2 linked regions of the Drosophila melanogaster genome follow. The protein of the gene in region 2 purifies or fractionates together with the protein of the main gene of each other region. This does not show direct contact. Each region holds a gene or a part of one and is shown on either strand. Other genes may lie near its edges.

Region 1 (7,999 bases), on a different chromosome or scaffold from region 2:
TATTCTTATTATTCATTCGAATTATGGATATAAGTCGCAAACATAACAATACATATTCATTTTACTTACCTACGGGTTTCATATTTAATTTACCAGTTTTTATATCATGCATTTTAACCATGAAACGATATCCGCCAAGGTATTCAGTCACGAGTACATCCCTAAAATAAACTATTGATGGTCTGGCAGCACGATTACATTTGCCCGCAATTTTCAACTTTATTTTTCCCTTTTCTCTAAGGGGTTTCGGTAAAAACTCGATGCGTACTCAACACGCCACAAACTAAACACACATAGAACACATATTTCACAATTGCTTTTGGAAAAAAGGGCGATAACGGGTACATCCGATTTCCCGCTCGGAAGAGAGCCGCTTCGAAAATACTAACGGTTTAACTTTATTGGATCGGTGCACGGCCACACTGGCGGCGTGTTTACCAAAATATATAATTTGGATCGCACAAACAGGTGATATATACCGTCATTCCTGTCCGATATGAGTGACAACCCCGCCGCGGAGAACGAAAAGCGACCGCAGTTCGGAACCCGCCTGCTCACGGATGCTGACGACGTCTTCAAGCACAATGCTTGGTAAATATGGGTGGCAAATCCTCCGGAGATTGGCCAGCAAAAGTTGGGAACACACTCGCCAGCGTAAAAAACCGTCGGGAGCGGGCAGCCGGGTGCTCACCGACGCGCGAGAGGTGTTCGAGTTTAACGCCTGGTACTTATCTGCCGTTCAGTACTCATGAAAATCCCTCTAAACATGGATTCACAGGGACCACGTGCAATGGGATGAAGAGCAGGAACTGGCCGCGAAGGCGGCTGTAGCCAAGAATTCGACCTCAAAGATGGAAGCGGAGCAGAAGGAGCGATTTCAGACAGACGCCCCCAAGTTTTGGGATTCCTTCTACGGCATTCACGACAACCGCTTCTTCAAGGATCGCCACTGGCTGTTTACGGAGTTCCCCGAACTAGCTCCTCTGGCGGCGGATTCGGCGGTACTGCAACCACGTAGCATTTTCGAACTGGGCTGTGGAGTAGGAAACACAATTTTACCCCTTCTACAGTACAGCTCTGAACCGCAGCTCAAGGTTTTCGGATGTGACTTCTCCGCCCGGGCCATTGAAATCCTGCGAAGCCAACGGCAGTTCGACGAGAAGCGCTGCGAGGTGTTTGTCATGGATGCCACGCTGGATCATTGGCAGGTGCCCTTCGAGGAAAACTCACAGGACATTATTGTGATGATTTTTGTGCTGTCCGCAATTGAGCCAAAGAAAATGCAGCGGGTATTGGACAATTGCTATCGCTACCTGCGTCCCGGTGGCTTGCTCCTCTTCCGCGACTACGGACGATACGACCTGGCACAGCTGCGCTTCAAGAGCGGCAAGTGTATGGAGGACAACTTCTACGTGCGAGGCGACGGCACCATGGTGTACTTCTTCACGGAGGAAGAACTGCGGGGTATGATGACTCAAGCGGGGCTGCAGGAGGAGCAGCTCATTGTGGACCGAAGACTGCAAGTTAATCGCTGTCGCGGCTTGAAAATGTACCGCGTGTGGATTCAGACAAAGTTCAGGAAACCGCTTTAAATCAATTTAGACGAATAGTTCTGTGCATTTTAAACCTTGTTCAAATCAATTGATATAATTATTTACACGATATATTTAAAAATACAAAGTTAAAACTTCAAACTGTAATATTACTAGAACTTTGAGCATTTCTTTTTCTTGATGGAAAGCCCGGCTTGTTTTTAAATTTCCCACCCCTTGGCCATCGGCACTTGGAAATCGCTAAGGAAAAGCTTCTCGCTGGAACACCATTCGCTGCTGGCCATCCAGGCAGCTTTTTCCCCAAATACACATAACAGTTAGGAAAGCTGCAAGTTTTCGCAGTTGGCCAAAAACGTCGTAAGTGAAAATTTTCCTGGTGCTGCGTAAAAAAATTCGTAAAATATTAGTTAAGCCTGGTTTTTGTAAACTCAAGTTGCCCGAGCAAAAGTAAAGTGATTCTGATCAAAAGTGCTAAAACTGATTGATTAGGAAAACGAAGATCAAACGAAATGTCAACCAAAGTCAGCGAAAACCCTTGTCGTGCAGAATTTCATTGATTTTTTCTTCTGAGCCCACGTTGGCCAGTTGGGCACTTGAAATTATTTTTAAAACGTTTTGCATTTTGAAGACATCTTAGGTGCCCCTGGGGGTATGCAACGGAAATGAGGAAGGACATGCCTCATGGCTGGGCGTGTTGCTGCCACCCAAATAGTCCTCTTACGTCCCAATTAGAATCCCATAGCTGCCCATTTCAAGCATTAACCGATGTACTAAAAATAGTTGCAACTATTTTCGCACTCTATTCAGCAGCAGTTCCAGCGCTGAGCCAGAAAATTCCTGCGAAAGGCTGTCGTGGCAAGTGTTACCCGCACACATACACATCATCCAGATCCAGCCAATCCCCCCGTGGAGTGGAGTGAATTTTCATTGACGACGGGGCGAAAAAGCTCTGGCGGAAGAGCGACAGAGAGAGAGAGAAACAGAGAGAGAGAGAGAGAAGCGGCACTGAGAGCGCAACCCTCTAGAACAAAAACAACGAAACAGAGTTCAGCTGCACCACCACCCACTACCTACACCACCAACGCCACCACCGCCCACTGACCATCCCACATCCCGACCTGCGCCAGTGGAAGACAGTGAAAGAGGCCAAGTGCATCGTGCATAGAGTACCTTCATCCTAATCATCGACAGCCGAATTCGCTGAGGCCACCAGAGCACCACCAGCCAAACCACAGAAGCAACCACACAGCCACCAGAGCCATGTAAGTGGATGGACGTTATTGATTCGTTTTCCGGCGGGGAAATGGGGGTTTCGATTCCCCGCCTTGCTTTTCGCCGTCACAGAGGGAATGCTCGTTTGATAGCCGCATTAAGTATACGCAGCATGGGTCGCTCATTTCATTTGTCATTTGTCCAAGTGCTCGCGCCCGTAAAATCCGTAAAAGGAACACGGGCCAGCTGCAGCTGCCGTTTCGGTTCGCTAGGCATGAATCACTTGGCGATGACGTTGTGGCATCACATGGCCAAGTCTCTCACACCGCAAAATCAATAAAAACACGATTCGCACCCGTGAGTCAGGACATGCAAACTAAGTTGCACCTATTTCTTTTGGTCGCTTGAAACCAAACATAAGATATGTGTCATGATCAAAAGAAAAGCTCGTCTTATACACACATACAAGTTGTTGATAATGCTCTTTGATTCCATATAAAATTGATTTTGCCAATAAAAGCCGGGGAAAGTTGAGAAATCCAAAAATATTCCCTCCACGTAGGTAAAAAAAAAAAACCAATTGTCGCCGGTCGTAGGGATTAGGGTAAGATATTGATTTCTTTTTCTTTGTCGTGGGAAAGGGAAATACGGTTCGATGAAAACATTTTGCCAACAACAATAACCAATACCAAATGACCAAATGACTATGGATAATACTGAGATACTTCACTCTATTGTTTGTTTCACTAAAAAATATGCATCACGTAGAAACCATACAAACTAGTCCAGCATAAGTAGCTTCGCCTATTGTAATTCTTTTATTTAAAATTAACAATTTCCCTTCCTTTGGCCCCGCAGAGCCCAGAAGCCGAGTTAAAGGTCAAAGTTTTTGGGGGTCTGAGATGGGAAAGAAAGACAAGAACAAGGAACAGTAAGTGTCTCTCCAAGTTAAAGGGTAGCTGGCTAGAACTATACTCCAGCACTGTCCGTAGCCCACACGTATCTTGGAGATATTTCGATTAAAGCTAGAAACCATAGTCGTTCGTAACCACCCACCCACACCCACTCTTTGTGTAATCTAAGTACTGTATTTAATGCGAGAGCCCCCGTTGGAAGTTGATTAATCTTGGCCCGAGCTATTCTTGTTCTCGCATCCGATGACTAATGACGACCTCCTCCGCAGGGCGGACGCTGCACCAGCTGGCGATGCACCACCCAATGCCGGAGCCCCGGCCGGAGAGGGCGGCGATGGCGAGATTGTGGGCGGACCACACAATCCGCAGCAGATCGCGGCACAGAAGCGTCTGCAGCAGACGCAGGCGCAGGTCGATGAGGTGAGTTCCGGGACTGAAAGTCGATCACAGATCAGCCATTCCATTAACCACTGCAACCCTGAATCCCCGACCAGGTCGTGGACATCATGCGCACGAACGTGGAGAAGGTGCTGGAGCGCGACAGCAAGCTGTCGGAGCTGGACGACCGTGCCGATGCCTTGCAGCAGGGTGCCTCGCAGTTTGAGCAGCAGGCGGGCAAGCTCAAGAGGAAATTCTGGCTTCAGAACTTAAAGGTAAGTGCGACGATGGCAGTTACCTTGTCGGACCGAACTTCAATCTTTGTTTTCTCCGCACAGATGATGATCATCATGGGCGTGATTGGCCTGGTTGTCGTGGGCATTATTGCAAGTAAGTTGACAGATCCTGGGCGAACTTGGTGCACTCATTTCTGGGACACACATACCCCAGAGAAACTGACCTTGACCCACGCCACACCACACCACACCACTCGACTCACCACGCACACACAGAACCGAAGATACTTTCAAGATCACCCAGTTACCCAGTTGTGTTTGTCTTTTGAGTTCGCCTTGATTTAGCGCTGATTTCGTTGGCCCAAATCGCTTTCGTTTATCTACACACCGAATCTAAATTGCGTTCTTAATTCCGCCACTTTTTTTCTCTAGGTAACTTTATGTAGATTGCTAACTATCTAATCCGTAAGAATTTAGTTCTTAGCCGCAATGCAATGCAAATCGAAACCAAATCAAAAGCCAATCAATCAACCCAATAAGAACCAATCGAAATCCAAATCGAAACCAAAACCGAAACCAAATTCAACTCATTCACAACTGCTATGAGTAGAGCTGCGAACTCACAGTCCAACTGACCGTTCGCTCAACCGATTCGACCTAGATGCCTTGCGAAATTCCCATAACTATAGATCGATCGATCATATCATGTCATGCGCTTCAGCCACCACTAGAACAATAACTAAATGCTAAGTGGCATACATATGCGAGTATTTGTATTGTGTACCATGTATGCCCAAGCCCAACATCATCTGGTTCCATACGAGCATACGCACAGGTTCGGTAAAGATTTCATTTGATGCCCACTGAAAGTCGTGTCCTGTGTTGTTTCGTTTCGTTACGTTGCCTAACCACCACCAGTAATCAAGTTGAGATCACGCCGAGTATCGGATCCGCCAGCTCCGTCCATGTGGGTTGCGGCTGAGGGTCTGGACGACAATGGAAGGACCCCGGCCAGAAGCCGATCTGGCGGAGATGGACCGATACTCAATGGTGCCCGTTAGCCTTATCCGTAGGACCTTAAGTTCTAGCTAGCTAGTTCTAACTCCCGTAAGCCGTAATCGTAAAGTTTGTGGTTTGTTCAGTGTTTCGTTAACCGTATCCGTATCCGTATCCGTTTTTCGTTTGTTTCGTTCTGATATTGGCAGCAGCACCCCAGCCACAGACACACGACTGTGCCATGTCCTGTGTAAAATACAAAACTTGAATCCACTTCCCCAGTAAAAGTAGTCCCTTCTCGTAACTCGTTACTCAATACTAAGCCTTCACGCAACTCGTTACTCGTTACTCGTTACTAAGCCTCCACGCAAGCGCAACGGCCTTCGGATTGGAAAAGCCAGCCTTTCTTGTGCCACTGAACCACAGCAAAAGCATAAAGTACTGCCATTCTTCTTCATTTACCTAAGTTTTTTTTTAATGTTTTCACCTTGATTTGACACACTCTCAACACCGAACCATATTTTTGAACAATTACAGAGAAAGACGAAGAATAATCACACAGAAAGCTTCAGCTTTGTACAATTTTATTAACCATAAGCAAATCAATTTACCCAATATAACACTTTGTGTGTGAGGTAAACAGCGAGAGCAATCTTTTATTTATTACTCATACGCCACATTTATTGCTAGGTGCACCAGTTGATAAATCCTTTGTTTTACATCGCTCAAAACCGTTTCTATATTTATACTTTATTGTTATCATCTTTATCTGCTCGCTTTGAAAACAAATCGATTTGAATTAAACAACAACATGAACTCACCGAAAAATTTCTCGTAGAACCGTACATGTCGGATGATAATGCTGCTCCGCAGCCTCCTGCCTTGCAGCAGCAGGTGGCTCCGGCATCGGCAACTGCACCTGATTCAGCACCACCACCACCACCACAACTACTACAACAACAAGAACAACAACTACAACCACACCACCATACACAAAATCTAAAATCTGAACCACCGACACTCGAGAAACCATTGGCCGAGAAATTGACCGACCACCCACAGAGTCCGTCGAATGAAGTGGCGACTGGACAATAGAACGCTCACGATCTCTCTTGAAAACCAACATTCAACCAACCAACCAACCAACCAACCAACCAAACTAATCAGCCATCGATTAACCACCAAGACGCATCCGTAGAACCATAGTCAAAATTAATCAAAATCGAAAAGAAAACATTTCACACTTTCTTTGTACCATTGACAAAATCGATCTAATCCGATACACTGTAAGCAAACGAAAAAACGGCAACATATCAATGCAAATAATCATACCCAGTAATTTGACACCTGCGCTTCTTCTTACTTCCGTTTCCGTTTGTGCTCCCACTTCCGTTTCCGCCGTTCCTCTGGTTTTATATTATTTCGGCTGGCTGTAAACGGTGTCTCATCGTTTACCGCCAGCCTTAGCCGCATGTATGTGAGTTAATCGATGTCTATGTGTGATTAGTGCCTTATTATTTGATTTTTACAATTCAATGTTGTATGTATTTTAAAATTGGCCTAAGTTTATTGCACCAAAAGCGAGAGGACTTCTCTTCGGGAGGCTCAAAGGAAGACAGCTTCCAGTGACTGCCTAAATGTACATAAATATATATGTATATATATATATATATATCCATACCTGTTCGATGCAGTTGTCCCTGCTGTCCGCCCCCACCCACCGTCCACATCCCATGTCCACTTGCTATATTCCGTCATGAGTGAGCTTTTAAGCCTTGAAGTGTAATATTTTTGGCGTATACTCGTGTATCGTTGTCTGAGATTGGCTAAAGAGCGCAAAGAGCCATCACATGTCGTGCCCTACTAATTCTTGCATCATTTTAAAACAGATAAACTTGGACTCATAGGCGGGGAGCAGCCGCCACAGTACCAGTATCCCCCACAGTACATGCAGCCACCGCCGCCGCCACCGCAGCAGCCAGCCGGAGGACAGTCATCGCTGGTGGATGCGGCAGGAGCAGGAGACGGAGCAGGAGCAGGAGGATCGGCAGGAGCTGGCGATCACGGCGGCGTGTAAGCAATCCCGCTGCCAGGACGAAAGTTTCTCGATTAGTGTGCTCCTTCAGCGGGCGAAAACAAAGCAGAGAAGACAAAAGAAAACCAAGAAAGGAAAACTCAGTTAAACTAGAAAATCTCGAGAATTGCAATGAAAACTCAATAATAATTTTCACTTAGACGATGTGCACGAGTTGGTGTGAGAGGTTTTAAGTAACTTACGTCATAATATTAATACTAAATCTAATGCAGACGCTCCGGACAATTTGAAGTTGTTGCTAATTTGTTTATGGTTACATTATTTCATGCATAAAACGGTATATATAATTATAAATATAAATACAAATCTAAATACAAATACAAATATATGGAACTTGAATATTACGAGTGACTCCAACCACTACCCTGTACTACCACCCTATACGGAACTAGCATCTCTACGCTGCACTGGCAACAAGGAGCGCCAGTGGAAGCAGGAGGACAGGCGGTCGCTTCCCGATGTTCGCAGCTCTTTGAACTCAGTTTCCTTAGCAAATCGACTAGACAAAACTAACAGAATCATAACTATTTCGGAACAGACGCGAAACCAAAGAAATGAAATCTAAGCTTTGTTCCTAAGTAAAGTTACGCAAATATGATATTCGAAATGTATAAT
Region 2 (4,737 bases):
AAGCCGCCGCATCCCTCAGCTTAAGCCCGCACGCCGTCCTGCGGCAGCCGCCTTGTGCTTTTGCAGGCCCGAAATGACAATGTCTGTGGCTGAAGCTGAAACTGGGAAAATTTGAGTTGTCATCTTTGCGAATTCTCATTGATTGAAAACGACCGTACCAACCATCAAGGCGGCAGTTCTGGCTGCTTTGGACGGCGGGTTTTCAATATCATTATTTGTGACGGGGGACTTATAACTTCAATTTACAAATGCCAATTGAAAATACCTAGAAGAAAAGCAATTGTAAATTTCGCGGCGGCGGGGACACGGCCTCAGCAATACCGTTAGTGTGGGCGTGGCAAAAAAATGTTTAGGATGCCGATAGAAATTAGAAAGACATTATAAAATCAAAAAATCTCTACCCAACATTAAAAAGTGCGGGTATGGCAGTTTGGGCGGATTTTGTGCATTAGAGCCGGCGTGGTAAAAAGTATTTCGGCAAATCGATTGCAAAAAAGACTACAACAAAATTAAAAAAATATGAAAACATTTCCAAAAGTTGTGGGCATGGCAGTTTTGGGTGGATGGTGAGCGTTAGATTGGGCGTGACCACATTTAGAATGAATGGAATTTTCATGTCCAATCTCAACTCTTTAACTTTAATAGTTCCTGACTTTGCTGATCACAAATATTTATACTTTACGCTTCCCTTTACCTGTTGCATACTTTTCAACGAAGATAGTACACCATTTAACGAGTATAACAAGTTGTTAAATCATCCGCACTTATTAATTGTGAGCATATTTGTATAATTCCTATAATGGTATAGACATACTGTTGTAATTAATAAACAACAGTCGAAGAACTCTACTACTAATCTACTAATGATACTTTTAATCACCTAAACGTATCAGTCTATGAAAAAAGAAGCCATATAAATTATCGCGGCTGAACTAAATGCTGCTAAAAATGTCCAGGCGAACGGGTCTCCTGGCTGTCATTACCTCTTAAAAAAGCTGGAGCAGTGAGCAAAATGTGGCCAATTTTCCTCACGTCGTCTGATGATACGGGAGGCGAATGTGCGAAATACGCCTGAAAAAAATAATCATAACTGGGCAAATAGGCGATGAAGCAATCCCACTTTCCCATTATGACGTGTATGCTCTAATTAAATAATTTATATAAATTGCCACCGTTACTCCCACGCAAAAACCCGCAGGAATTTCCTGTTCCGCCGCACTCGAGCTTATCCTGCAGGAGCAGGCCCTGGTCGGAATCCCGGCGTATCGACAACCAATTCGGGCATTAGCTGCTATCAATACGCTTCTTCCGGCGGGTGTGTTAAAAAGCAAGGCCCACAAAGGATGTGGTGCTCACATGTTCAGAAATTAGCGGAGGATAATCTGTCACCGGTTCCGCTTCCGAGCAATCCCTGCCCGTACATGGTGCACTTTATTTATCGCAACGCCAGACTACGAGGCTTATGTAAGCGTGCCAGTCAATACTGATGAGGAATGGGAAAGGGGACTCCTTGTCTAGCAGGGCGTGCAAGAACGCCGTCTCCGGCAGAAGGGAAAGTCGTTATTAACCAACAATTCGGCTAAAAGCTTTCGGCCAGCAAGCTTTCGTTTTGTTTGGGGCCAACTGTCAAAACTGACAGCAGTGCTCTCTGCGTTGGGGACTCTCTTCGCGTTTCGGCGGCTGTTGTTACCACAAGAGCTGCTGGCTACCAGTATAACGTTTTCGGCAGTTAATGTAGTTTCGGTCACCAGCAGCAGCACCACCGCCCCAGAGCGAACTTTTCGGTTTGTATACGGGTCCGTGACGAGTGGCAATCAGTGCGATATTGCAGAGTGTAGCGTGCATTGGTGTGGGGAAAGTACCCAAGCCCTGTGGTTCTCCGTGACCGACTGTTTAGGTAGACCCCACGGTCCGCGGTCCGCCCTCCTTCCGCGCAAGTCCCCCACGCCAGCGGTCTAATGGCCAGTGGACTATGTCCCCAGCCTTTAATGCCCTAGTGGCCAGGTCGTGACTATCATACTAAACAATGAGCTTCGCTTTGTCGAGCCATAAGTAATAAGCAATTTGTGGAGGAAAAATTATCTCACGCTGTGCAGCAAGGACTTGCTGGAGTGAACTTCAGTTGTATACGGGCGAGGAAGGCAGCTAACCTCCCATTCAGTGCCAATCCACCAAGCTGTCTGCCAAAACGCTATGAAATTATAATTGATTGAGCGGAAAACAATGACGCCATCTTAGTCGGCCATATTGGTATGAACACTGTCGGATCTGTGTCGCACTAATTAGAAGTCTGGAGTATTCTCCTGCGCCCTTGGCAACCTTGATAGGAGCTCTTGTCACGACATAGACTTTGACCCGACCACTGTCCGATGGCGGACAGATGAGCGGATGTGGCCAGATCTTTGCAATTTCCTCCTTTAAAGCTATGTGCTTCCGGTCCCGTCTTCCTGCTGCCTGGTCAGCACAGTCCGCCCAGCATGTACACACGAATGTGTGCAAACAAACGAGAGTGGCACTGACAAGCCAACAAAGGCCGTTCCAGTGGGTTGAGGGCGCAGCCGAGGGATGCGGTGCAGTTCGGCTGGTTCTCGCTCCGAGTGGTGATAATGGCTCGTAGTCACAGCGAGCGTCTTATCAGTACGGCATAGCCTGATGCTAAATGTTACAGGAACACTAACACGACCGCCACGAATCGATATCGCGTATACGCTATTCGGCGCAGGCGCCATCTCCCAAATGTAGGCAGCGCTTTTGCTGCTGATTTCAAAGTCAAAAAGTCAAGAAATTGAGACCGAGAAAGAGAGCGAAGGAGGAAGAGAGTGAGAGCGAAAGACATTGAGAGGGATAGAGATAGAGGGGAATCGAATTATGTAACAGACAAAAAATAGCAGTCAGATAAATATATTAGAGAGACAGAGAGATAGAGAAAGGGGGCAGGGTAGGGTTCTTTCAGTCCTGGCGGTCCTGCAATCTTGCCGTCAAACGAGTCCCACCCCCACCATTGTTGCCCTTATCTATGTGAGTGCCTGTGGTGCTCGTTTTCTCTCGGCAAGCCGAGCGGGAAAGCACTCAAACCCGAGCCCGAGAATTTTCGGACGGCGCTAAAGCTCGGTCCCTCGAAGCCCGCTATTCACTGGATTTCGGGGCCGCAGCGGCGCGGTCGGCTCCGACGCCACTGCCTCCGCCAACGCTTTGTAAGGCGCTCGCATGCGGAACAGCGGCAACGAGCCACGTTTACCGAGTTTTTCGTGTAGGGTACTCTGGCAGTGGCGTGCAGAAGAGTGCGAACATAGCATGAAGTAAGAAGCGCCGAGAAAACATAGCGACGGTCTAGTGAAAAGTGGCAAGCAAAGCAAAAGTATTAAGCACACACACACTGCCAGTGCGCACGGACACACACAGCACACTCCCGCACCAACACACTAGAGCAAGTGCGTGTACATAGAGGGTTTGTGTGGGGCACATATGTGCCCGCACGATGTCGATACTGGCTCACATTGGTAGTATTTAAAAAGCGACGAACGGCCCGAGCTCGAAAGCACGACTGAAAACCTAAATTGATTAAGCGAATTTGTTCTATCAAGCTAATTCAATTGCTCGGCCAGTTGACTGAGTGATCCACTGCAAGCGCAGCCTTATGTAATCGGAATCAGTGAAAAAAGCGAAACACGGCGGCCGCCAAAGGAATACGACTCCAGGACCCGAGTCAAATCGAATTTGTTTGCTGCGCGTATTACGTAAAGTAAAAATCTTGTTTGCTTGTGGCACCCGCCTCCTCGAACCCCTCCCCACTCAAAAAGGCACTTACGTGCACGCTCCCATAAAAGAAACCCTAATAAAGAAATATCGATAAAAGCAACGAAGCAAGTGGCACGCCAGCACAATAACGACGACGACAAGCGAAACATCGGTAACAATGCGACCCCTGGGGGTGTTGGTGTGTGTGTCTGCTATTTTTAAATTAGCGCCAGTCCTCTAGGTTCGGCTCGACCCCGCCGAACCCTGAAACCCGTAACCCGGGAGCCATATAACCCTGGAAGCCCAGAACTCTGCACTGTGAACAACTAAACGACGCCTTCTGTGTCTCTGTTTGTCTTTCAGGAAGCCTATCTGCCTAATGCACGCTCTTCACAGTGGATTTCCTTAGAACAAACACATTTCGCGCAGACTAGTCGGAACTTTGCTCCTCATCAACCAAGTCCACGCACTCACAGGAATCTTCAAGCAAAATCTGAAAGGAATACTTGCTGAACTAAGGCCAGGTATGTGGGTGGTCCATCAACCTAAAAAGTGTCGAAAGTATGCCCCAAGTATGCTCCAAACTTGCTCGCACTTTATTTCAAATATTTGTGCAAAGTGTTCGTCCGCATCCTGCACATTTTACGCGTAGATTGCTCGAAGGCAGCAAAAAGTTCCAAGCTCATTACGCAATCGTTCGAGTCCTCAAAATAATGCGAAGACTATCCAAAGACGAAACGATCGCAGTGCTCCATAGCTGCTTCGCCTGAGGCGTATACATGATATACTTGAGGTATACTTACCCTTTTATGGCCAAGGCCAAATGCTTAGGAGCGTGGGTGCAGCGTTGGGTCGGAGTCACACACAGCTTATTTGCGTATTTATTGGCTTTGGTTTTCTGACTGGATCCCGTATTAGAAAACTTTAAATGTAACTGGATAGCCAACTGAGAAGAACTTTGGGTCAACTTGAAATGTTTAGTGGCCCAAAGATAAGAAG

What was found.
Region 1: the proteins of cpx (region 2) and nSyb purify together in Drosophila melanogaster (affinity purification with western blotting, with the first as the bait; one study listed by BioGRID). This does not show direct contact.

Annotation. Positions count from the first base shown.
Region 1 is NT_037436.4:1,631,634-1,639,632, reverse strand, and holds the start of nSyb (neuronal synaptobrevin), read left to right. Parts: upstream 1-1,958; 5' UTR 1,959-2,000; intron 2,001-2,020; exon of another isoform or gene 2,021-2,074; intron 2,075-2,360; exon of another isoform or gene 2,361-2,363; 5' UTR 2,364-2,813; coding exon 2,814-2,815; intron 2,816-3,623; exon of another isoform or gene 3,624-3,667; coding exon of another isoform or gene 3,668-3,696; intron 3,697-3,948; coding exon 3,949-4,099; intron 4,100-4,173; coding exon 4,174-4,332; intron 4,333-4,395; coding exon 4,396-4,447; intron 4,448-4,725; coding exon of another isoform or gene 4,726-4,739; exon of another isoform or gene 4,740-5,128; intron 5,129-5,826; coding exon of another isoform or gene 5,827-5,843; exon of another isoform or gene 5,844-5,924; intron 5,925-6,127; coding exon 6,128-6,384; 3' UTR 6,385-6,575; intron 6,576-7,178; coding exon of another isoform or gene 7,179-7,366; 3' UTR 7,367-7,999. Other genes in the region: Mettl2 (methyltransferase like 2), read left to right, coding at 561-724, 779-1,592. UniProt on the Drosophila melanogaster protein: Involved in the targeting and/or fusion of transport vesicles to their target membrane. Major SNARE protein of synaptic vesicles which mediates fusion of synaptic vesicles to release neurotransmitters.
Region 2 is NT_033777.3:4,278,573-4,283,309, forward strand, and holds the start of cpx (complexin), read left to right. Parts: upstream 1-1,648; 5' UTR 1,649-1,784; intron 1,785-1,812; exon of another isoform or gene 1,813-2,250; intron 2,251-3,132; exon of another isoform or gene 3,133-3,431; intron 3,432-3,591; exon of another isoform or gene 3,592-3,910; intron 3,911-4,052; exon of another isoform or gene 4,053-4,101; 5' UTR 4,102-4,262; intron 4,263-4,737. UniProt on the Drosophila melanogaster protein: Positively regulates a late step in synaptic vesicle exocytosis.